Linked DNA regions of Macaca fascicularis. The protein of the gene in region 3 interacts with the protein of the main gene of each other region in a pairwise test. Links are inferred from orthologs where the notes say so. Each region holds a gene or a part of one and is shown on either strand. Other genes may lie near its edges. The genes, in order: NRIP3, SLC41A2, KASH5, TMEM11 and GALNT2.

Evidence for each region.
Region 1: the proteins of KASH5 (region 3) and NRIP3 interact in binary tests that used the Homo sapiens proteins (3 or more experiments, as listed by UniProt). The two-hybrid records come from large-scale screens. The link is inferred for Macaca fascicularis from reciprocal best matches to the Homo sapiens genes KASH5 and NRIP3.
Region 2: the proteins of KASH5 (region 3) and SLC41A2 interact in binary tests that used the Homo sapiens proteins (3 or more experiments, as listed by UniProt). The two-hybrid records come from large-scale screens. The link is inferred for Macaca fascicularis from reciprocal best matches to the Homo sapiens genes KASH5 and SLC41A2.
Region 4: the proteins of KASH5 (region 3) and TMEM11 interact in binary tests that used the Homo sapiens proteins (3 or more experiments, as listed by UniProt). The two-hybrid records come from large-scale screens. The link is inferred for Macaca fascicularis from reciprocal best matches to the Homo sapiens genes KASH5 and TMEM11.
Region 5: the proteins of KASH5 (region 3) and GALNT2 interact in binary tests that used the Homo sapiens proteins (3 or more experiments, as listed by UniProt). The two-hybrid records come from large-scale screens. The link is inferred for Macaca fascicularis from reciprocal best matches to the Homo sapiens genes KASH5 and GALNT2.

What each region holds. Positions count from the first base shown.
Region 1 is NC_088388.1:56,829,273-56,833,981, reverse strand, and holds the start of NRIP3 (nuclear receptor-interacting protein 3), read right to left. Parts: upstream 3,218-4,709; 5' UTR 3,146-3,217; coding exon 2,972-3,145; intron 1-2,971.
Region 2 is NC_088385.1:111,887,049-111,891,964, forward strand, and holds the start of SLC41A2 (solute carrier family 41 member 2), read right to left. Parts: upstream 3,357-4,916; 5' UTR 3,256-3,356; intron 1-3,255. UniProt on the Homo sapiens protein: Acts as a plasma-membrane magnesium transporter. Can also mediate the transport of other divalent metal cations in an order of Ba(2+) > Ni(2+) > Co(2+) > Fe(2+) > Mn(2+).
Region 3 is NC_088393.1:57,356,214-57,360,459, reverse strand, and holds part of KASH5 (protein KASH5), read right to left. Parts: intron 3,925-4,246; coding exon 3,847-3,924; intron 3,835-3,846; exon of another isoform or gene 3,764-3,834; coding exon of another isoform or gene 3,572-3,763; coding exon 3,515-3,571; intron 3,199-3,514; coding exon 3,139-3,198; intron 1,848-3,138; coding exon 1,783-1,847; intron 1,619-1,782; coding exon 1,531-1,618; intron 1,067-1,530; coding exon 944-1,066; intron 1-943. UniProt on the Homo sapiens protein: As a component of the LINC (LInker of Nucleoskeleton and Cytoskeleton) complex, involved in the connection between the nuclear lamina and the cytoskeleton.
Region 4 is NC_088390.1:20,622,646-20,626,891, forward strand, and holds the end of TMEM11 (transmembrane protein 11, mitochondrial), read right to left. Parts: intron 954-4,246; coding exon 437-953; 3' UTR 49-436; downstream 1-48. UniProt on the Homo sapiens protein: Plays a role in mitochondrial morphogenesis.
Region 5 is NC_088375.1:19,043,427-19,048,424, forward strand, and holds the start of GALNT2 (polypeptide N-acetylgalactosaminyltransferase 2), read right to left. Parts: upstream 3,179-4,998; 5' UTR 3,103-3,178; coding exon 2,977-3,102; intron 1-2,976. UniProt on the Homo sapiens protein: Catalyzes the initial reaction in O-linked oligosaccharide biosynthesis, the transfer of an N-acetyl-D-galactosamine residue to a serine or threonine residue on the protein receptor.

The DNA.
Region 1 (4,709 bases), on a different chromosome or scaffold from region 3:
AGATGTTTTTCTCTAGCTTCATCGAGTTAAAAAAAAAAAATCAGGGCTGGGTGTGGTAGCTCATGTTTGTGATCCCAGCACTTTGGGAGGCTAAAGTGGGCAGATCACTTGAGACCAGGAGTTCAAGACCAGCCTGTGCAATACGGCAAAATCCCATCTCTACAAAAAATACAAAAGTTAGACTAGTGTTGTGGTATGCACCTGTAATCCTAGCTACTCAAGAGTTTGAGATGGGAGGATCTCTTTAGCCTGTGAGGTCGAGGCTACAGTAAGATGTGACTGCAGCTGCATTCCAGCTGGGCAATAAAGTGAGAACCCGTCTCTTAAAAAAAAAATCAAATATAATATTACTCACTCATATCTCTGGTTTTAGTTCTTAATCTAATACAGAATGAACAATATAAGATAAAAGGATAAATGCAAAAGGGCCAGACAAAAATATAATTTCCACAGAAGACTTTGTATCAGCCAACTCCATATACACAGAAATAGGCAAAGGCACTTTCCTGGGGCCAAGACAACATGACCCCCTTTGATTTCCTATGGTTGCCTTCTGCCAGTCCTAAAAGGGCTGGCAGGCTGATCAAGCAGTGAACATTACAGAAACAGCATAGTAAGAGGTAGATAATTCAGAAATCCCAGCAGTATAATTTAAATGTTTGTTACTAGTTTGAGGGAAAACAACCTACAACCTTCACAAACCCAAAAGTCAATTACAACTAAGTTTTCCTCTCTCTTATCTCCCTCTGATGCTATCCTCTCCCTTTTCTTGGACCCCTTCTGTCAAGATTATACTATAAACTACTTCAAGTAAGAACTATTCAATTAATTTTCGCATCCTCCAAATTTCCCTTGCAGTGAGAGAAAATTGAGTCAACACTAGTCTATCCCAGATGTATTTATAAAGTAAAACAATAATAATGTACTTCTAAGGTCACTTCTAAGATTGTACTGAGGCTGCAACAACAGTTCCAAGAGTTTAAGCATGCTGCCTCACCCCAGTGCTTGCGGCTCTCCTAGCCCTACCTCAGTCTGCCTCGGTTTCTGTAATCTGGCTGTTCTGTGCAATCACTTGTACACTGTAGGTGTGAAAACAGTGAGAGTGGGAAATCAACTCCATGACGGTGGGGCACAGAAAGCATGAACCATGATTCAGAGCCTCACAGTCAACTGCCATGTGTATGTGTCATACTCAAGGCAATATCCTGCTTCTTGAGGCTCCTTCCTCTTTGCAGCCTGCTGCCTGTGCTCTATGCTATCAGCCCTTCGTGACTCAACTGAGACAGACTGGAGTCAGAAAAGTGGATGGAATTCCTACACAGCATGAAGTAGTATAAGAAATCCTAGGCAGAAGGAAGCTAAGGTAGCTCTCAGGGCTAGGAAACTCCTTGACAACCAAGGACAACCAAATCCAGCATTTAAAAATTCCATATTTTAATTCTTCTCTTAATATAATACTTCCTTCTTTATTGATTGACGAGCATTCTAGGAACTAGGATAGGATTATTTGGCCTGAAGGAAAGAATATTTCTCGAACCTGATTTGTTAAATGAATCAAGATTGCTTTAAAGTAAAAGAAGGGAAAAGAGAGTTACCTCTTTTGCAGGAGCACATTTCAATCACTCATCACTCTGGGTTAGCATAAATCAGGGAAACTATCCTGCAGCTTGTGCAAAAAGCAAAGCAAAACAAAAAAACACAACTTTCAAAAAACAGAGCAAGATAACTGAAGTAGACAAACCCTGCAAAGAAGCAACTAATGGCAGGGAGGAGAAAAATTATACTGGTACCTGTGTGTCATTAGAGCTGTTAAATTAAAAAAAAAAAAAAAAAAGGAAATGGATGCAGAAGCTCTGCCCTCCTGGGGCCAGAAATGGCAATTTCAATGAATTAGAGCTAACAACCACATCCAGAATTAAACATTTCAAAAGCTTAAAATAAAAAATACTAGAAAAATTATGCAGAGCACCTATTTCATTTGTTAAAAGACATTTAATTAGCATTTCATACATTACCACCCAAATGAACAAAGCGATTGTGAAATTCAAGAAAACAATCAAACTACAAGAAAATTCCAGATAAAACTACAAAGTTAAACATAAACTTGACCCAGGACCACTACAGAGGCTGAGGGATGACAGATACAGTTCTTTATATTGGTCACCCTTTCATTCTATAGAAAGAGGACAGTACCATTTTTTACCCCAGGGCTCCTGTCCTGGGGTGCTTCTACTTAATGCCAAGAAAAACCGTGCTAGAAAAAAAGACTGCAACCACCCCAGCCCCAAATGCACACATTAGCTGGTCGGTAAGATGGAGCAGCCTGGCTTCCTCCCTCTACTCACTCCTTGGGGGCGGGGCTGGAAGAGGAGAATGATGAAGAGATGTTGGGGGTTCAGGAAACCTTCACATTCGACCCCTTTTCTCTCTCCCCACTCAGGATGGAAGGTCAAAGGTACATAGGACCAAAACTAGAGAAGTGGATTTTGCATAGGGGGACAATGGATTCAACAAAAATCTTCTGGATCTGGCAACTGTCAAAAAAAAATCCCTTTCCACTTCTTTCCCCCTCACACGAAGTCATTAGGAATCACCTCTGTCTGGGTCATAGAACCAGCCACACAGCGTAGGAGGCACAAGCCCCACGAACAAAATTCGGTATTAAGAATAAGGGGAGAGAAAGAAGACCCGAGGGCAAGAGGGCAGGGCAGGACCTCTTCCTTCCTCTGGAGAGGAGACATCCAGGGAGGAGATACAGCCGAGGGGAGCGCGAGCTGAAAAGCTAGGACGGAATCCCCACCAAAACCGCAGCAGGGGTGCTGGAAGGGGAGGAATCCGCGACGCAGCGACCGCGAGCCAAGGGCAGCGGCGGGCCGGGCGGTGACTCAGTGAAAGCCGCAACGGCCGGGCCTCGGAAGACCGCGGGCGCGAAGCCGCCGGGGCCAGGGCAAGAACGGCGGCGGGGGCTCACCGTGTCCTTGGACGAGCCCAGCTTCTTGAGGCCGTCCAGGGGCAGCAGGTCGGCGGAGTCCTTGTGGATGAACTGCACCGCCTGCTTCATCCGGCGCTGCTGTCGCAGCGACGCCGCCTCCCGCATGTCGGTCTCCTTGCGGCCGCCCTCAGTGAGAAGCCCTGAGTAAAACATCCTTGAGACGCCGGCGGCCCGGTCGCCCGCGGCTCCCCAGCAGCCTCAGCCTCGAGCTCGAGCTCCTCCAGCGCCGCAAGGGCCCCGCGCCGCGCCTTTTATAGCCGAGTGTGACGCCGCGTGGAGCAGCCAGTGCGCGCGCGGGGGGCGGGGCCGGCACAGAGTCCACGTCCCGCGAGGCTCCCTGGCGTCCCGCGTGCCCTGCTCACCCGGTGGCAAAGCGGGAGAGGAGGCGGCGGCGCTGGTGGGAGTGACCCGGCGGGCCGAGAATCCACAGCGGCCTCTTCACCCAACCGCCCCCTCCTGCGTGGGAGCCCCGCATCCCTTGGACGGGTGTGGGCTCTGGGGCCCGATGCCCTGGCAGCCCCGGCCATCTCCGCCGCTGGCCGTGGGTCCCAGCTCACCTGTCCACGCCGTGGCCGACCCGGGGATAACCGACAGCCAGGCCATGCCTCGAGTCCCGCCTCCCGCGCCGCTGCTCGGCTTCTCGGAAACGCACCTCCACGCCGCCAGCCGGGGCTCCAGCGCCCACCGCCCGGGCCCGGAGGACTGGCGGCTCCCTCCGAAGTTGGGAGCGGTCGGGATTTTTCCAACTTCAGGTCGGTCCCCACCCACCGGGCCACGTGACTGGGGAGGGGGCAGCCGGTGCAGGCGTGTGTAGGAGCCTTTCGGGACCTCCTCCCCCGGGCACCCTCTGCCTGCAGCCGGGCACCCGGCCTGCGTTTCCGAGCCGGGGGAGCAGGTGCGGTCGGAAGCCCGCGGGCGGGCATAGAACAGGGGAATGGCGAGGGTCCCCCACCTCCGCGGGAGCGCACGCGGCTGCGAGCCCTACATCTGCTCTCCGACCAGAGAAGCACCTGTTTTTCTCAACAAGTACTAGGACTTACCATCTAAAGAATCATTCACCGTCCCTCCAGCGTCCTTAGTAGGAGCGATTGGAACCCGTTTTTCTTCTTGAATACATATTTTTAAGCCATTCTAATCAGGTTTCAGGCATCCTGGATTCTGGTCTCGACGTTGTGATTTGGCACAAACCACGTTTCCATTCTGGAAACCACAACAACCCCCTCCACCCCATCACACAGGAGCAGACCTGGATGAGAAATATGTGCACTCAGCAAAGAACCAATGATAAAAGTAACAATATCGACGCTTACTGGGCCTTTACTATGTGCCAGGTACTGGAATAGACACTTAAAATGTAGTATCTCATTGGATCCTGGCAACAGCTTGTATATTCTCATCACCCCCATTTTACAGGCAAATACCTGATACCTTCTGTCTGGCCTCCTGAATGCTCCCTAGTTCCATTCCAATCCGTTGTTCACTGTGCTGCCAGAGTAATCTTCTCAAACCATAAGCGTGATCATCTCACTTCCCTGCTAAGAGCACCTCAAAAGGCTTCCTATTGCTCTAAGAGAAACCCACATTCTTGCATGGTCTGCCTAGACCCTGCATATCCACTCTGTGCTTCAGCCTCATAGCCCTTCTTCCAGTTCCTTCCAGTCACCTGTTGCCAAATGGCCTGCCTTTGACTGTCCTGCTCCCTCTGTGTGCAGTGTCC
Region 2 (4,916 bases), on a different chromosome or scaffold from region 3:
GCCTCCCAAAGTGCTGGGATTAAAAGCATGAACCACTGCACCCAGCCGGCCCTGGCTTTCTGATTACCCTTGCTGCCTGATTAACCTCACAATCTGATTAGGTTCCTCATCTTCCACTGTCCCCCAGGTGGTGTCTGATCACCTGGCCTGTCTTCAGCAAGAATCCTGTTAGGTTGGTTTGGTCTGAATATCCATTACCCCCGATGTTTCCTCTCAGTACTTTTCTGTCCACTGACCATAACACTGCTCCTTGGCTATAAATTCCCATTTGCCCATGCCATATTCAGAATTGAGCCTAGTCTTCCTCCCACACTGCAAAATCTCATTCCATGGTCCCTTCACCTATCACAGTCGTCCTGAATAGACTTCTTTACCATGCTTTAACAAGTATCATTGGATAACTTTTTTCTTTATCAACAATCATATTAGATCAGTGGAAAATTGAGTTTGAATTCCTGGGAGGTAACATCAGGACTTTTTAGGTGTTTTTTGCTATGAAAGACCTGATGGTGAATTTGTGTGCACTCAGAAATTAACCATGAAATAAGCACAGCAGCATTCATTTAGCTGTAAGTGGCTCTTAACCTTTGTGCCATCAAAAATAGTTATTTACCACCCACACGTGAACATAATTGTAATAAAAACTACACTGCACAAACTTAAGAAAACAAGATTCTCCACTTTACTGAGAAGTTAAACATATAAAAATTTGAGTAATTTGTTCTTGCCATTTATTGTTAGTTTGTTCAGCTGGCCACCAATATAAATTACTTGCAATTAACGTGATAACAGGGATTTTCAAATTGAGCATAGAATATATGAAAGTACCAATTAAGGGTGGTCTCTCTTGACTCCAGTCAGGAATATGCCTTCTGTAGCCTTGCTCAAAACACCAGGGCAGTAAATGTAAAGGGGCAGTAAGATGTCCAAGAATGAACACATAGGGTATTCTTACAGACTGAAGTGGCACTTATTCAACCTTTACCCAATAGTAAGCATTAAGTTTTTCAGTATCAGATTGGCTGGAGTTTTTTCAAGTCAGTGCCAGTATCCAAACCTATTAATAGAATTTTTTTCCATAAAGGAAGAATAGGGCCGGGCGCGGTGGCTCAAGCCTGTAATCCCAGCACTTTGGGAGGCCGAGACGGGCGGATCACGAGGTCAGGAGATCGAGACCATCCTGGCTAACACGGTGAAACCCCGTCTCTATTAAGAAATACAAAAACTAGCCGGGCGAGGCGGCGGGCGCCTGTAGTCCCAGCTACTCGGGAGGCTGAGGCTGGAGAATGGCGTGAACCCGGGAGGCGGAGCTTGCAGTGAGCTGAGATCCGGCCACTGCACTCCAGCCTGGGTGACAGAGCAAGACTCCGTCTCAAAAAAAAAAAAAAAAAAAAAAAAAAAGGAACAATAAAACTCAATACAAAGCCAAGCAACCCAGACTGACCGCGGTGGCTTATGCCTGTAATCCCGGCACTTTGGGAAGCCGAGGTGGGCAGATCACTTGAATTCAGGAGTTGGAGACCAACCTGGCCAACATGGTGAAACCATGTCTCTACTAAAAATACAAAAATTAGCCAGGCAAAGTGGTGCATGCCTGTAGTCCCAGCTACTCGGGAGGCTGAGGTAGGAGAATCGCTTGAACCCCGGAGGTGGAGGTTGCAGTGAGCCAAGATTGCACCACTGCACTCCAGCCTGGGTGACAGACTGAGAGTCAGTCTCCAAAATAAATAAATAAATAAATAAGTAAATAAGTAAAGAAAAAGAAAAAGCCAAGCAACCCAATTAAAATATGGGTAAAAGATATGAACAGACATTTTCTCCAAAGAAAATATATGAATGGCCAATAAGCACATGAAAAGATGCTCAGCATCTCCATTCATTAGACAAATGCAAATCAAAACCACAAAGAGATACCATTCCACACTCACTAAGATGGCTATAATAAAAAATAACCAGTAAAAAGTAACAAGCCTTGGGGAAGATGTGAAGAAATTGGAACCCTCATACACTGCTTGGTGGGAATGTAAAATGGTACAGCTGCTTTGCTTGGCAGTTCCTCAAAAAGTTAAACACAGAGCAATTGCCCTCCTAGGTATATATACCCAAGAGCACTGAAAACACATGTCCACAAAAACCTGTACACAAATGTGCATAGCAGCATTACACACAATGGCCAAAAACTGGAAACAACCCAAATGTTCATCAACTGATGAATAAACAAATGTGGTACACTGATACAACAATATTAATATGCTATAAAAAGTAAAGTACTGATACATACTACAACATGAGTGAAACTTGAACACATTACGGTATGTGAAAGACGCCAGACCAAAAAGCCACATATTGTACGCTTCCATTTATATGAGATTTCCACAACAGGCAAACCCACAGAAACAGCAAGTAGATTAGTGGTGGCTAGTGGGGTGGGGTCAAGGGGAAATGAGGAGTGACTACTAAGAGAGACAGGGTTTCTTTTGGGGATGATGATCTGGATAGTGGTCATATTTGGAAAACTTTGTGAATATATTAAAAGCCACACTTTAGAAGAATGAGTTTTATGGCATGTGATGTATATCTCAATTTAAAAATTGTCCACTACAAAAAAAGATGACATATATACGTAATATACATATCAATGTATATAGGTAGCACATACATACGTGTCATCTCTCTCTATAAATGAGCATTTGGGCTTTTAAAATTGAGATATCCTCCATATATATAAAGAGAAGAATGAAAGAACAGGGTGACGGGGCCCTCGCGGAGCCCTGAACAGGCATATGGGGTGTGCCCGAGCCAGCCTCGCAGCATCTCCATCCCAGCTCACCTTCAGCCATCACTCAGTCAACCACCCGCCGCCTGCCCCTGCCTTGGGCGCCCGAGACCGCTCATCCGCGGCGGCCGCGGAGCAGCTTCCCATCGCCCGATGTGGGGCAGGCGCGGGGGCCTGGGCTCGGGCGCTACCCGGCGGCCCCGGGAGGCGTCCGCAGGGGGCACGGCGACTCGGGCGGGACCGCTCCCACCGCTCCCCGCGCCCCCGCCGCCGGGTCCCGAGCCCAGGCCTCTCGGCCCCACCTCCCTCCTGCACCTGGGATGCGCCCGAACGCGGTGCAGCGGCTGAAGCCGAGACTTCCCCTCCACCGTCACCTGTGCCGGAGCGCGGCGGCGGCAGCGGCCGGTGTGAGGAGAAGGGTCCCCGTCTCCTCAGACCGGACCGAGACACCCGGGGCGGGGGATGGAAGGGGCATTCACCTAGTCCCCAGCACCGGTGGTGGCGGGGAGGACAGCGGCTCCCAGCCCACGGCTCCTTCCTGCTCCCGCGCCTCCTCGCTCCGCGGCGTCTCAGAGCTGACAGCCCGGCCGCCGGCGCCCGCGGCCCCCTGACTCCCTGCCGCCCCGCCCCCGCGCGGCAGTCCCGCGCAAGCGCAGCCGCGCCGCCGCCGGGGAAGCCCGGGCCTTGGTGATGTGGCCCGCGGGGCGGCGATCTGGAGCGACAGCGCCGCCCCGCCCGGACCCCGGCCGCGCCCTGGCAGACAGCTGTCGGGAACGGGGGCGCTGGACGACGGCGAGGGGGCAGTTTTCTGGGGATCCTGCCCAGGAGAGAAGGGCTGTGGCGTCCTTCCGCAGCCCTCTTCCCCACCAGCCCACGCACGCCCACTTCACCGCCTGCTCCAAGGTCCGAACCCCCGAATCCATGACTCATGATTTCTCTTCTCAGACCAGCGGCCTGTTTTTGGCTGAGGTCACATTTCTTGCAGACAGGGGTTAAAACCGAAGCACGTGTCTTTCGGCCCGGCAGCGCATAGTGTGGGCAGTGCAGGAGCCGAGAAGGGCAGGGACCACCGCCGAAGGGGTGAGGTTTAGGGCAGCCCCGTAGCACCCTCCCCGTGCCAGGCAGGTGTAGGCGCCAAGCACACGGGGCGCTGAGGAGTTGGCTGGGGTGCCAGGCTTTTCAAGTTTCCCCACACTTGCTTTTAAACCTAGATCAAACTGATCCAAAGTCTGCAGGTAAATCCAAGAGCTCATTTATTTTATTTACAAAACTATTTATTGAGCATCTACTGTGTATGATTCAGGGAATGAGACACACCCCAGGGATACTACAGTGAACAAAAGCAAGGTGTTGGTACGAAGCCTGTTACTTTACAAATTACACAGCTATTGCTAGGATTGATTGGTGGCTCATGCCTGTAACTTCAACACTTTGGGAGGACCAGGCGAGATGATCGCTTGAGGCCAGGAATTTTGAGACCAGCCTGAGTAAACACAGAGAGACCCGAAGTAGCTAGGAGACTGAGGTAGGAGGATCGCTTGAGCCCAGGAGTTCAAGGCTGCAGGGGGCTGTGATCGCATCAGTGCACTCCAGTCTGGGACACAGAGTGAGACCTTGTCTCTAAAACAACTCAAAATGACACAGCTAATGATACTCTTTTCCTCAAATCAAAGCCTCTACCAATTCCAACCCACACCAGTGATTTAGTAGCAGCTTTTTCTGGTGCTGAAGGACACCGGCATACATTTATCCAGGTTTTGTTTTTTGTTTTTTGTTGTTGTTTTTTTTCCCCCCTTATCCTTTGCAATCAGACTCTGAGCTTTAACCTTCACCTTCAGGGTGAAGGGTGCGTCTGTATCACTCTTGGCCATCTGCAGTCATGCTTTTTATAATGGTTCATCCTGGTGTTCCTCACTACCTAAAAATGAAAGTATAATTGCAAGGAATATGGAAAAGCAATGTTTTGACTGCATTTCCAACTGGTTTTTGTTCTGGTTGTTTTTTGAATTACAGATCATTAGAAAGTAGCTGCTCTTGAAAGTCTGGCAGAAGTTCCACCCGGTAAGTGTTCCTCCCCTGAGTGTGTAGTCTTTCAAGATTTCTACACAAAGCATATACAGAAGCCAGCCTCTCTTGGTTT
Region 3 (4,246 bases):
TAGCCGGGTGTGGTGGCAGGTGCCTGTAGTCCCAGTGGCTTGGGAGGCTGAGGTGGGAGGATTGCCTATGTCCAGGAGGTTGAGGCTGTAGTGAGTCAAGTTCACTCCACTCTGGGCAACAGAATAAGACAAGATCCTGTCTCTAAAAACAAAAAACAAACAAAAAAACCCAATGGTTATTGCTGAGTTAAAGATGTCATAGTAGCCGGGCGCAGTGGCTCAAGCCTGTAATCCCAAGCACTTTGGGAGGCCGAGACGGGCGGATCACGAGGTCAGGAGATCGAGACCATCCTGGCTAACCCGGTGAAACCCCGTCTCTACTAAAAAAATACAAAAAAAACTAGCTGGGCGAGGTGGCGGGCGCCTGTAGTCCCAGCTACTCGGGAGGCTGAGGCAGGAGAATGGCCGGAACCCGGGAGGCGGAGCTTGCAGTGAGCTGAGATCCGGCCACTGCACTCCAGCCTGGGCGACAGAGCGAGACTCCGCCTCAAAAAAAAGAAAAAGAAAAAAAAAAAAAAGATGTCATAGTGAGCTTGCTGGTTTTTCTTAAAGGTACTTATATTTGAAACATAAATGCTTAATATATCCTTAAAATGTTAGCATAAACAACTTGCTTATTCCCTTCCTACGGTAGTACAATTTTAAATCACGCAATTCCTGAGCGTGTTTTCTAAAACAACAAAACGACACGAAAAGCCACAGTGCAATTTGTGTGTTTGCTTTGTTCACCTTTGTCTCCAACGCTGGCAGGTCAGTCCCTGGGGCAGGGGTGGTGTCTGGTCTGGCTTGTGGCTGGGTGTCCAGCACACAGTGTGCTCTCAATTAACATTTTCTCATCAAATGGGGAACAAGCAAAGGTGTGAGTGAATGGCTGGCCAGGGCGGCACCTGGCGCTCCGGGCCCCTTTCCAGCTCCTGGACTTCAGAGCTTTTCCTGTGCTCACCTGTCCCCCAGCTGGGGCTTCAGACGGAAACTCAGCATCCTCACTGGTATCATGGATGACTTCCTCCCACTGCCACACCCCACACAGAGGGTTGGAGAGACCAGCAATTGCCACTTCCTGTTTCTGGGACAGAAGGTGTTTCCGAGGTCAGGGAGAGCCATGTTAAGGTAGAAGACAAGGTCAGAGACAGAAACGGGTTTAGGTGTGTGGCTGAAAATAGGATGAGAGGTAGAAAAGAGCTGGTGTGGGGCTGGTGTGGGGAGTGGGCAGAAGCAGGAACAGGGGAGGGTTTGCTGCCAGGACCGAGGTCTGGGTTCGAGATGAAGTTAAGGAGTGAGATGGTCATGGAGGGAGACGAGATAGGGGTGAGTCACAGCTGGATCGGACTGGGGTCTGGCATAGGCCTGGGGCTGGCAGTGGGTTTGGGGTTAGGATCCGAGATAGAGTTAGAGAAAAGCTAAGGTTGTGATGGGAGCCTCTGGCAGCAATGTGGGTTAGGGCTAGGCTGGTGTGAGGATCAGAGTGGGGAGATGTTTGGAGATCCTGCCTTGGTGGCCTGCAGCTTATTCCAGGGGTGTTAGGCCCACCTGTCGAATGGCCTCGATCTCCAAGCCCAGCGATGGGGGCAGCAGCCGGGTCCAGCCCACTCTTCTCAGCTGGGCCCCTTCAGGTAGCCTGGCCACACAGGGAGGAGGGAGGAAGGCGGCCTTTGTGCCTGGGGGCCACTCAGTCGGCTCATGCTGGCCTCCCTTCCCTGCCCACCTTGGGGCTGGAGACCAGGGTGTCTCTGCTCTTAGGCTCCCCTCCTGCCTCCTCCTACCCTATGAAGTTCCACTCACTCATCGGGCCCCTCATAGGTCTGACTCAGCTGCTCCTCCAGGCGTGAAATCTCCAGCCTCAGTTCCTGCAAAGGAGGAAGTGGGGGGCACATCTGGCTCTCCATTTTTCCCATCCCTGGGCTCCTCTTCCAGGGTTCTTTCCACTTTCCTGACTACTTTGGCCTCCCCAGACACACACTGCCTGGGGACAAAGGGCAGAAAGCCATGACAGAATGTTAGGAAGCCAAAGAGAGACAGAGAGCAACAGGAATCCAGAAGCTAAAGCACAGGCCAAGAGGCCGGGAGCTGTGGCTCATGCCGGTAATCCCAGCACTTCAGGAGGGCAGATCACGAGGTCAGGAGATCGAGACCATCCTGGCTGACAGGGTGAAACCCCGTCTCTACTAAAAATACAAAAAATTAGCCAGGCATGGTGGCACGCACTTGTAGTTCCAGCTACTTGGGAGGCTGAGGCAGAAGAATCGCTTGAACCCAGGAGGAGGAGCTTGCAGTGAGCCAAGATTGTGCCACTGCACTCCAGCCTGGGCGACACAACCAGACTCCGTCTCAAAAAAGAAAAACAAAACAAAACAAAACAAAACAAAAAGCACAGCCAAGAAAATTAAGAGAAGGAAGGCAGAGGCAGTGATGCATGAAAAAATGAAAGACATAAATGGAAACAGACTCACAGACAGGCAAGGGAAACACCAGGGCTAAGAGACTGGTAAAGACCAGAGCCAAACAGAGAAGACTTGCCTAGGGAGACAGACAGCCTAGACCTAGAGGCAGAGACAGGAACCCACACGAGCCTGGCAGAGACACATAAAGATGAGGAGGGGAGGCTGGGCGCGGTGGCTCACGCCTGTAATCCCAGCACTTTGGGAGGCCGAGGTGGGCGGATCATGAGGCCAAGAGATCGAGACCATCCTGGCCAACATGGTGAAACCCCGTCTCTACTAAAAATACAAAAATCAGCTGGGCATGATGGCGTGCGCCTGTAGTCCCAGCTATCTGGGAGGCTGAGACAGGAGAATCGCTTGAACCTGGGAGGCAGAGGTTGCAGTGAGCCGAGATTGCGTCACTGCACTCCAGCCTGGTGACAGAGCGAGACTCTGTCTCAAAAAAAAAAAAAAAAAAAAAAGATAAGGAGGGGTATGTGAGAAGACACCCACAGAGAATGAAAGTGAATGGAAGGAACAGAAAAAAAGTGAAAAGGCAGATAGAGAAACAGAGGGTGAGACACACAGTAAGTCATACAGTCATACATTATGGATAGAAGAAGCAAGATGTGGCCACCGACAGAGAAAGAGCGATGAGGAGGAGAGGCAGCAAGTCCCAGAGATGGCAAAAGAGAAGTGGCCAGGGCCGCTGAGTTACCTGCGTCGTCACTCTGTATTCTTGCAAGGTCTGGGCCAGGCTCTCCACATGGCGAGTGCGCTGGGAAAGCCGAAAGCCAAATGAGACTGGGACCAGTTCCCCAAAGACATAGTGGGGGGTGGTGGTGGGGGGACTGGCTGGGGGGGTTAAGGGACAAGGGTGAGCTTGAGAGAAGAGCTGGGGCCCAAGGGAGAGCACCGGGCAGAAGGGCTTCTAGATCCCTGAGGGGTCACATTGGGACCTGGGGAATCCCTCCAATCTCTCCGCCTGCACATCCAAGGACCAGACCCAAGTAGGACTTCCCTTTCTAGACCAGGGGCAGGAAGTGGCTGGCGCACACGGAAGGCAAATCTCTTTCCCTCCCCGGGCTCCTCACCTCAGAGAGGATGGTGTCTCGTTGGCAAATGAGGTGTTCACACTCAAAGAGCTGCCGCTGCCAAGAAAGGAGCCGGTCCATCCATCCAACCTCCCAGGACTCCCCTCGGTCCTGCCCTCCGTCTGGCCTGCCCTGCTCTCCCGCACCCCGCCGATTCAACCTCCTGAGATGTTCCGGGACTTCAGGGATTTTAGGGATGCCTGGGTGGTCCTGGGAGTCTGACAGTTTGATGGAAGACCCTGCTCTCATCAGGCTGCAGTCACTAAAACCGGAAATGGGAAAAATGGCCCCAGGGTGGTGGAAAGTTGTCAGGCACTAGGAAGGAGTGGCACCTTCAAAGTGTCCTTCTCCATGGCCAGTTCCTGACTTCTCTTCTTCACTCCATCCCGCTCCGCCAGCAGTTTCCCATTCTAGAAGAAGGAATGGCGGGTCACATTCACTTCAGCAAATGGTGATGTTAAAATTAACAGCAGACATTTGCTAAACACTTGACTGATATGCATCAGGCCTCATGCTAAGCACTTCATGTTTTAACCCATTTAATTCCTCCCACCATTCTGTTGGGACCTCAGCTTTAATTTCTCTGAGTGTGGCTCCCCCATCTATAAAAATGGAGCGAGGCCAGGCACGGTGGCTCACGCCTGTAATCCCAGCACTTTGGGAGGCTGAGGCGGGTGGATCACGAGGTCAGGAGTTCCAGACAAGTCTGGCCAACATGGTGAAACCCCGTCT
Region 4 (4,246 bases), on a different chromosome or scaffold from region 3:
TGTGCAGCAGCAGCTGCAGGCAGACATGGACAGAGAGAACAGCGGGAGTTGAAATTCTCATAATTTTAATGGTCAATAGCTTCTGGTGGGCTCTGGATGGTACAGTTAAACAATAGACTTAAAGACCTCCCCCAAAGCACGTCCGCACCCCCTCAGCAGCGTGTGCCTCCATCAGCGTTCCACTGCCCGATCGGACTTCCACAGCCTCAGACCCCCCCCTCTTGGGTTATGGAAATCCACATCTTAGTGTGATGAGCTGAAAAACCCTGGGTACACCCGTGATCTGTTATTTTTTTTAAAAACAACGAATATTAAGCCAAACACCTTCCCAGGCTCTGCTGCCTCACAGAGTGAGAAACGTGACCGTGGCGATCTGAAGACTCTGTTGTCTCTTGTGGGCCAGGTGGTTTTTGCTTCGCTCCCTGTTCTACGGAGATCATACGGCATAGAGTTCGTAAATCTTCTTTACACAGTACGCCAGGGCGGCCAGTGCTATCGTGTTGTGCAGTCTCTTTCTGTGCAGGTCGTCCTTCCGGACCAGCACCACTGGGGTGGAGGAGGTGAGTGTGTGCAGAGGCAGGCGCGACAGTTTATAGGCGTCGTACTCCACTTGGTACTTGCAGCAAGGGTCAAACTGCCAGGAGATCCCATAGAGGGTGCAGCAGGCCAGGCTCAGCACACCAGCGGGCAGGGAGATGTAGTGGGAATAATCTAAGGGCAGCGCCAACGGGGTGAAGAGGCAGGCGGTGCCCGCCAGCACGGCCGTCTTGTGCAGGCAGTTGCCCACGGTGATCCAGCGGGCCGTCTCGTCGCCGATGCGCGTGGGCTCAATCACAATGTACTTGTACTGGGCTTCCAGGGCCTGCTCCAGCTCGTACTCAAACTGGTCTTGGGCATTCTCCCCATTGTAGATCTCGTGCACAATGTAGCAGTCTGTGGCCGACAAGCTCACCCTTTTGACGGAGGGGGCGGGAGAGGGAGAGAGAGAGAGAGGATGATTAGGCTGAGCAGCACTTAACTGTGTTTCGATGCTGGGGGAGGTCTGAGCCTGCACTGCGGAGAGCACATCTCCCTGAGGTCCTTATCTCCTTCAGATCCCAACACAAGACAATCAGTAAAAAGTACTTTTCCTGAAATAGTGAAATAAGCCTGGGCGCAGTGGCTCACACCTGTAATCCTAGCACTTTGGGAGGCCGGGGTGGGTGAATCATGAGGTCAGGAGTTCAAGACCAGCCTGGCCAATATGGTGAAACCCTATGTCTACTAAAGATACAAAAAATTAGCCAGGTGTGGTGGCGCATGCCTATAATCCCCGTTATCTACTCGGGAGGCTGAGGCAGGAGAATCATTTGAACCTGGGAGGCAGAGGTTGCAGTGAGCCGAGATCGTGCCATTGCACTGCAGCCTGGGTGACAGGACGAGACTCTGTCTCAAAAAAAAAAAAAAATTTAGATATAAAAAGGCAGGAAAAGGAGTACCTCGATGTTTACAAGAACAAACGCAGGCCTGGTGGTTAGCCTAAGGCTGTGGACCAACTGATCTGAGTCAGCAAAGGAGCCTAAAGGGGAAAGAAGGATTCGCACAGTCACATGGGCGCACACGGCAGCACGAGGCCAACAGCCTGAGAGCCGCTCTTAATCAGGGCAACTGCAGGAGGATTCTCACTGCAAACCACAGGCCTCAGGACAGATCATGCTAAGCCCTTGCCCTCCACATGGTTCCTAAGTAGTCATCCTGGGCCCACAGAACAGAGGCACAATGGAAGAGCTCTGCCTTGGGCAAAATCCAAACTCCTTTGGCTCTCCTGGGAGGCCGGGCTGCACGAGCCCTGGGTGCCCTTCCCGGATGGCAGCAGCCTCCTGCTCCTCCCCACCGCGGAGGGGAGAACAGGAGACCCAGGACACTAGCCCACTGCATAGGAAAAGCGACCCTTTCCCTGACTTAGGAAAAGACGACACTTCAAGGACAGTAGCGGCCCCCAAACGTAGCGGGCAGGAGGGTCAACTGAGGGGCTTCAAAACATCCAGCCAGCAATGCCACCGATTCCGGCCCTGCAGGCCCAGGCCCCTGCCCCACCGGCAAATGCCACTCATTTGCATCAGAAACACAGCCACAGAGACCACACAAGGGGCTTTCCCCCTGGGACTGGGGTGCATGCCATGACCCCAAGCAGCAGCAGATCCACCACATGGAAGGCGCAGCTCTGCAGCAAGGCCAGACAGCAGCCTGGCGGCAGCTCCAGCAGTGACATGTGGGCCAAGCTGCATTTTAGGCATTCTGGCTTTTCTTGGTTTCAGGCCTTGCGGTCCAAATTTCCCACCCAAAGCAGAATCTTCTTCACCTGTGGCGGGCAGGCCTGAATACAGGGCTACCCACGCCTTGTCATTTTTCCTTGGCTGGTTTCAGCTGAGACAGATCTTTTTTTTTTTTTGAGACGGAGTCTCGCTCTGTCGCCCAGGCTGGAGTGTGGTGGCCGGATCTCGGCTCACTGCAAGCTCCGCCTCCCGGGTTTACGCCATTCTCCTGCCTCAGCCTCCTGGGTAGCTGGGACTACAGGCACCTGCCACCTCGCCCGGCTAGATTTTTTGTATTTTTTTAGTAGAGACGGGGTTTCACCGTGTTAGCCAGGATGGGCTCGATCTCCTGACCTCGTGATCCGCCCGCCTCGGCCTCCCAAAGTGCTGGGATTACAGGCTTGAGCCACCGCGCCCGGCCAGCTGAGACAGATCTTTCTGCATCTCCGCAACGCCACTCTGCATCCTGCTTTTCCATTATCTGCTCATCCGCGAGAAGTCTTGATCTGAGCCCTGACAGGGACACTGCTAGACACAGCTCTTGAGGCTGGATCAAGTTTTCCAACTCATGGCTCCTCCGGCTGGGCAGAGCCATGCTCCTCAGTGCAAAGCTGCCCCTTCCCTCAGCACACCCCGGTCCCCAGGACGGTCAAACTCATCTGACTAAAGGACACGAGGCTCTAGGGACCTGCTGGTCACTGCTCCCCTGCCGGAGTCCATGCCCCTCCCACTGGGACGCTCTGGCACAGTGTACTAGGCCACACAAGGGTCAGCGTGGCCCATCTACCTGAGGCTCTGACAGGAACTAGCTTCCTTTAGGGGCCAACGAGAAGCACAGCCCTCAGTGTGCACAGACGCGAAGGTCCCGTCCGCCCGGCCTGTCCTGGCACGCACACCTGGCTGCCGTGCAGAGGAAAGTCATGGGGAGCTGAGCCACCTGGCCATCGGCCATAACATGGGAGCGACGAGTGAAGACTCATAACAAGCCACCCTCAGCCCAGCATGAAGGTAACTCCCTCCAGCCTCCTTCAAAGATGGGAGCAGTTCCAAGTGAAGGATGGTGGAAATCCGACTGTCAGGGTAAACTTCAAGGAAAAAGAACAGGCAATCACGGTCCTCCCTACAACTGAGACTCCTCTCAGCTCAAAGCTTTCAGCAAACAAAGAAGCAAACCTAACAGGCTGGGTTTCATGCTGGCTGGATGAACAACTGGTGAACGATCTTATGTGGCCACATTCAAGATGAAAGTCATTAGTAATGGGCTGACTGTGCCCCCAAACATGGGGGCCCTACCCCCTGGGTGGGAACCACTTTCATAAAAGGCACTGGCTTGGACCTGGGCAAAGGGAACTCTTTATCCTGCAAAAGTCACTGTAACGAAGCTGGGCTAAGGCAAAGCCTCCTAATTCAATCATAGGCCCTCATTAAACTGCATGCACTGGGGAGAAATCAGTTCGCTGCGGGTGGGACAAGAGCCTCCTAAACTTGGGTTGCTGCCAAGCCGCCTGTGACTGTGTGCCAGTGTCGTGGCTGCCTTGCCAGGGGTGAACTGATGAGCTGTTACTGTAAGACTGCACGAGCAGCTTCTGTGGGGAAAGGAGGGGTTGCCTTCTAAAGCCCTCGGTGGAGTTTTTCCATGTGGTCTGAGAGGAGAGGTGAGGGAGAGGCCAGCTGTTACTCCCAGGCAGGATTCAACAGCTTTTATTTTTGAGACAGGTTCCTGCGCTGTCACCCAGGTAGGAGTGCAGTGGTGTGATCTCTGCTCATTGCAGCCTCGACCTCTCGGGTTCAAGCGATCTTCCCACCTCTGCCTCCCGAGTAGCTGGGACTACAGGTGTGTGCCACCGCGCCTGGCTGCATGGCTAATTTAAAAAAATTGTTTTGTACAGATGGGGTTTCGCCACGTTGCTCCGGCTGGTCTCGAGCTTCTGGGCTCAAGTGTTCCGCGTGCC
Region 5 (4,998 bases), on a different chromosome or scaffold from region 3:
ATACCAAAGCCCAGGGGAGACTTAACATGCTTAAAATTTTAAAGCATTTAAGAAGCTCAAAGGAAAGGAACCCTTGAAGTGCAAATCATCAATTTAGGAGGAAAGAGCAAAATATGGGGGGAAAGGGTATGGACACAAATGTAAATGAAATGTAATTTTAAACAATATTTTGCATAAACTGCTTTAACAGACATGTCCTCAACCTGGGTGTTGAGTCCTGAGTTGTGCGGCAGTGCCTGAGATTGGTTCTGAGCGCTCCCTCCTGCTTAGTTTATTAAACCTGCAATCTGAGGTGAGCTGGCTCTCTGGGTTTTGCCAAGTGGAGAATAACAGTTCTGTGATGAGTTACTTAACAGGCAGGGCACACAATGACAAGCCTGGGCTGGGCTGCTGAAGCAGCAGAAATCCTAGTTGGACTCCCCTCAAACGATCCCCAAAGCCCCATACTGCAGCCTTGTACCCTGTGAAAAACGTTAGGATGTGCAGAAATTGGCTAAATATGGAATGAGAGCCCTGACTTGAACAGTATGAGGCAAGAGAAAAATATAGGTCCGCTTATCTCTAAAAAACTATAGCGAGCTTTTAAATTCTGCCTTTCTGTGCATGGCCCGCTATCTTTTTTTATGTCCATGCTTTACAAGCCAAACAAACCACGTGCTTTTTTTTTTTTTTTTTTTTTTGGTATGAGAATGAACTAAATTTAGAGACACTTCTAGTGTCTAAATCCATGGAAACAATTGGGGAGGAAAGAGGACTACACGATTTTCCTATAGATCAGGCATTTTCCTATAGATCACGATTTCCTATAGGATCAGGCATTCCTATAGGTCAGCCCTATAGATCAGGGCTCTATTTACCCCCTTCAGAAACCATCTTCCCAGGGTCCACCACACAAAGTTAATGAGTCCTCCACTGCAATTTCAAAAGCTATTGCATTTACACACCTCTTCCTCAACTGACAAATCACTAAAGCATTCTAAGGGCTAGGATTAAATTTTATGGTTCGTTGACAGAAAGAATAGAATCCCAAATCACCAATCTATGTGTAATTGTTCATTTCCCCCACTTTTTCTACCTGGTCTCCGTACCTTTCCATATTGCCACCAGGAATTCTTTAAAAAAATAAAAAAGAAAGAAAAACTAAGAATCACACACTTCAGGAGTGTCGGAAGCCTTCTGCATGGAAGACCCCTCACACCATCCAGCAACTGAAGCCCACCAGAGTGAGGAATCAGCCTCCGGGAGGGGAACAAGCAGGTTTGCTCTTTCTAATCACGTGTACTAATGAAAGTGGCAGACTAAGGAAAGAGAAACGCCAAGGGTGGCTTAATGTGTTTGGTTTTCTTTGCATGAAAGGCAGAAAGCTTTGCCAGGTCTCACCAGCACACCAGGCTATGCAGAGTGGCCAAGGCACAGTTTACTGGGAAACAAAGTTTTAAAAAATCATTCCAGTTTGACACGATTATATCTTTGAATGGACTGCACGACTTTTGATGGCTGCATGTTCTTTGCTGTTCAAGAATAAACCAAGTCTTCGCATACATATACTACCTATACCATTTTTTTACAAAAACAGCGCTAACAGTACAGTGTCAGCTCAGAAGCTAGGCCGATTCAGCACGTGGAAAGACGGCTTTATTTCACAAATCCATGTAATTTACCAGAAACCAAATAAGGCACTCATTCCACCTAACATCTTCGGCTATGAATGAATGAATGAAGCAAAGAAAAAGCCTCTGAAGCAGCCAAACCCCAGCGTGGACATTTAGGGGTCTGACTTCAGAACTGAAGTCTGTTCATCTAGTTAGTTCCCTCTGGCTTGTTTCAGCATACCACTCTCTTGTTCCAACCCAATCACCCGTTGTCCATCTCCATTAACTCAGAATTTCCTGGGTTTGCGGTGACACTAAATGTCACAGTAACGAGGAGGAATTCGGAAAAGAGAACGCTGCTTTCAAAGCCAAGGAGCCAGTAAAACACTACAAACGTCCCCAGCCGGCATGCTCCAGCCCACAGCCCGACGCCCTGCTCTCCCGGCCGGCCGCAGGACCGCACCGTCCCGGCTCCTCTCAGCGCTCAGCATCCTCCCGAATGCCAAGGGCCCGGCCAGCCGGAGCGGCGGGACGAGGGCGCGGAACCGCAGAGCGGCTCACACGGTCCCCATAGCCGGATCACTCGGCCCCCGGAGCAGCTTAGAAACACATCCATAGAAGAAGGATTCTCCCTGAAGCGGGGAGTGGGGATGGAAAATGCAAGCGCAGGAGGCCACGTCCGGCTCCTCGCGAGGGAGGGCCGGGTGCCCGGTTGGGCAGAGGGTAACACTGGGACCGCAAGGGGACGGCCGGGACTGCCCTCGCTCGGGGCGCAGGGGCGCACTAGCCCCCGGATCGCACGGGCCCTGGGGCTTTAGTTGGCACGGGAGTGGCCGCCCCTGCCCCTCAAAAGGTAAAGGGCAAAGAAGGTGGCAGAAACAGGGAACCCACGCCCCGCGGAGTGACAGGGGGAAAGGGACGAGGATTTTCAGCCGCTGGTATCAAAGGGCTGAAAAGAAACTTGGACTCCTCTCTCCCGCTGTACATGACGCGTTGGAAAGGCGGTCGCCTCTCTCTCCTCTCCTCCCCACCCCCTTTGTGTTTCCCAACACCCCCATCCCTAAACTTCCAACGGCAGGGGATGGGGCTCCCGGCGGCCGGACAAGACTCGAATTACGACGAACAGAGAGAGGGGTGACGTCCACGAGAGGGGGCGGAGGGGTGAGAAAGGCTGCGGGGGCCGCCCTCTCCGAGCCCGGCGTGCGCAGAGGGGCCGGGTGCACCCGTGCCCTGGGCACTTGGCGCGGAGGCCCGGGACGGGGGCGGGCGGCTCGAGCGGAGGTCTGGGCGGAGGAGCGTAGGGGCGGCGCGGAGCGGGCAGGGGACAGGGGCGCAGGGTGGGGGTGGGCGCAGGGGCCCGGGCGCGGCAGGGCGCTCCACTCACCTTCCTACCGGCGCCGCCGCCAGCTCCCCCGGCCAGCGCGGAGCCGCCCCCCGAGTACATGTAGTAGGCGATGCCCAGCACCCACAGGAAGGCGAAGCAGAGCAGCATCCGCGAGCGCCGCCGCATTCTCCTAACTCGGCCGCCGGCGGGCCGCCGCTGCTCGCGAGTGCTGCCTGGGCCGGCCGCGGGCGCGGTGGGGGCCGGGGGAGGAGCGGAGGAAGGGGAAGGGCGCGGCGGCGGCTCCTCCTCCCGCGCGGGGCTACTGCTTGGCGGCGGCGCGCACTCGGCGCCCGAGCTCCGCCCCGGGCCGGCGGCGCCGCGCGGCGCCCGAGCAGGAAGCGGCGGCCTCGGAGGCGGCGAGGGGGGTCAGGGAGCAAAGGGCGACCAATCGGCTGCGGCTGCGGGGGCCGGGGCGCGGGGCGCGGGAGGGGACTGCCGCGTCTCCATGGCTGCAGCACGCCGGGCTCAGTCGGGAGGGCCTGGGCGCCGCCCCGCCCCCGGCCGGCCTCCAGCCCGCCCGCCCGCCTCCTCAGCGTGCTCCCCCCGCCGGCCGCCCCCTCCCCCGTGAGTGACAGGTGGCTGCCCCGGGACCCGTCTGGAGCGCGCGCACACGTGGGCACAGAGCCTTGCTCACGCACACGGGGCCTCTCGGTTACGGGGGCGGTAGTGGCCCCGGCGCTTCCTCCCCAGACTGTCACCTCTTCAGCCTTGGTCTTTGGGGCCACCTCAGACCCTTAACGGGCTTGCTCTTATTGGTCAACTGACCTGAGTTTTTGGTGCAAACCGCCCGCCTGAACCCGACTTTGCTGCTGCTTGCTGCAGTTTTCTCACTAATCTTGCAGCAAAACATTCCTGACCCGCTGGTATCGGTTTTATTTATCTATTTAGGCAGATGTGGAGGTTTTGAGGTAGGAACTGAGGAGGTAATTTTCAAAAGAACATTTTTCTGTGGGTGACAGAGCTATCAATGGTAGAGTTGTTCTTTTCAATAAACGCGAAATGAAGAAGAAAGAAAGCAATAAGATATTGTTTAAAATCTTTTCATTCTTATTCATTGCTTTCTTTAAAAAGCACACCAAGCATCTTTAATGATACAAGAAAACGATCTGTCTTGTAACAGAATCTGTTAACCTTGGTGATGCCCTTGTAACACGCAGTTTCCAGTGTTTCCTAAGGAAGAGAGAAATTTTACTTAGAACTTGATATGTTAAATGTTGCAGGAGCTTCTCAGAGGATAATGGCAGCTGCCTGAATATATCCCTACCCATATCCTCAACGAAACAAAAACAAACAAGCCTTCAGCATTACTTAGAGAGAATACCATGAACTGAACATTAAATTACTTAAGTAGAAGAAAGAGAAGACATCAAATTCCAACTGAGCTCCCTCCACTATTACCAATGACTTAAGTGAAGTGCAGGGTTGTCATCTCTTTATAAATAGAAAGTCCAACACCAAGAACTAAAAACTGAACAGAGGTCAGGTGCCTTGTTGATCAAGGGAAGAGATTTGAAAGAAAATGGGACAAGAGGTGGGAGCCTTGAAGGAGCCTTGCTTCTGGGAAAAAGTCAGATAAATACAAAAAAGATAATGTCCTTCAGAGGCCTGGCAATGAAGGGAAAGAAGGAAGTGAGAAGGGAAAATTACAAATCCTGCAGAAATAAAAAAAACCGCCAGTCCCCTCCCCAAACACCAACATTATCTATTAAAAACTGCATTTCAGTACACAGATAAAAGAGAACACTCTTGAACTGGGAACCCTGCCTCAAAATGACTAGTAACAGAAAAACATCAAATCAACTGCATATAAAGATTCTGCAAAAAGAAAACAGAAAAATAATCACATTTCTGATGATAAAAAAAAATCATAACATTTTCGCTGATGAGAACCCCCACAATAAAAACCATGAAGCATAAGAAAATTGTAACAGCACATATCGAACTGAACGAAGTGTCATGTATTTGTATACACATACACACACACACACACACAGCTAGAATAAGAAACTTCAAAAACTAAAG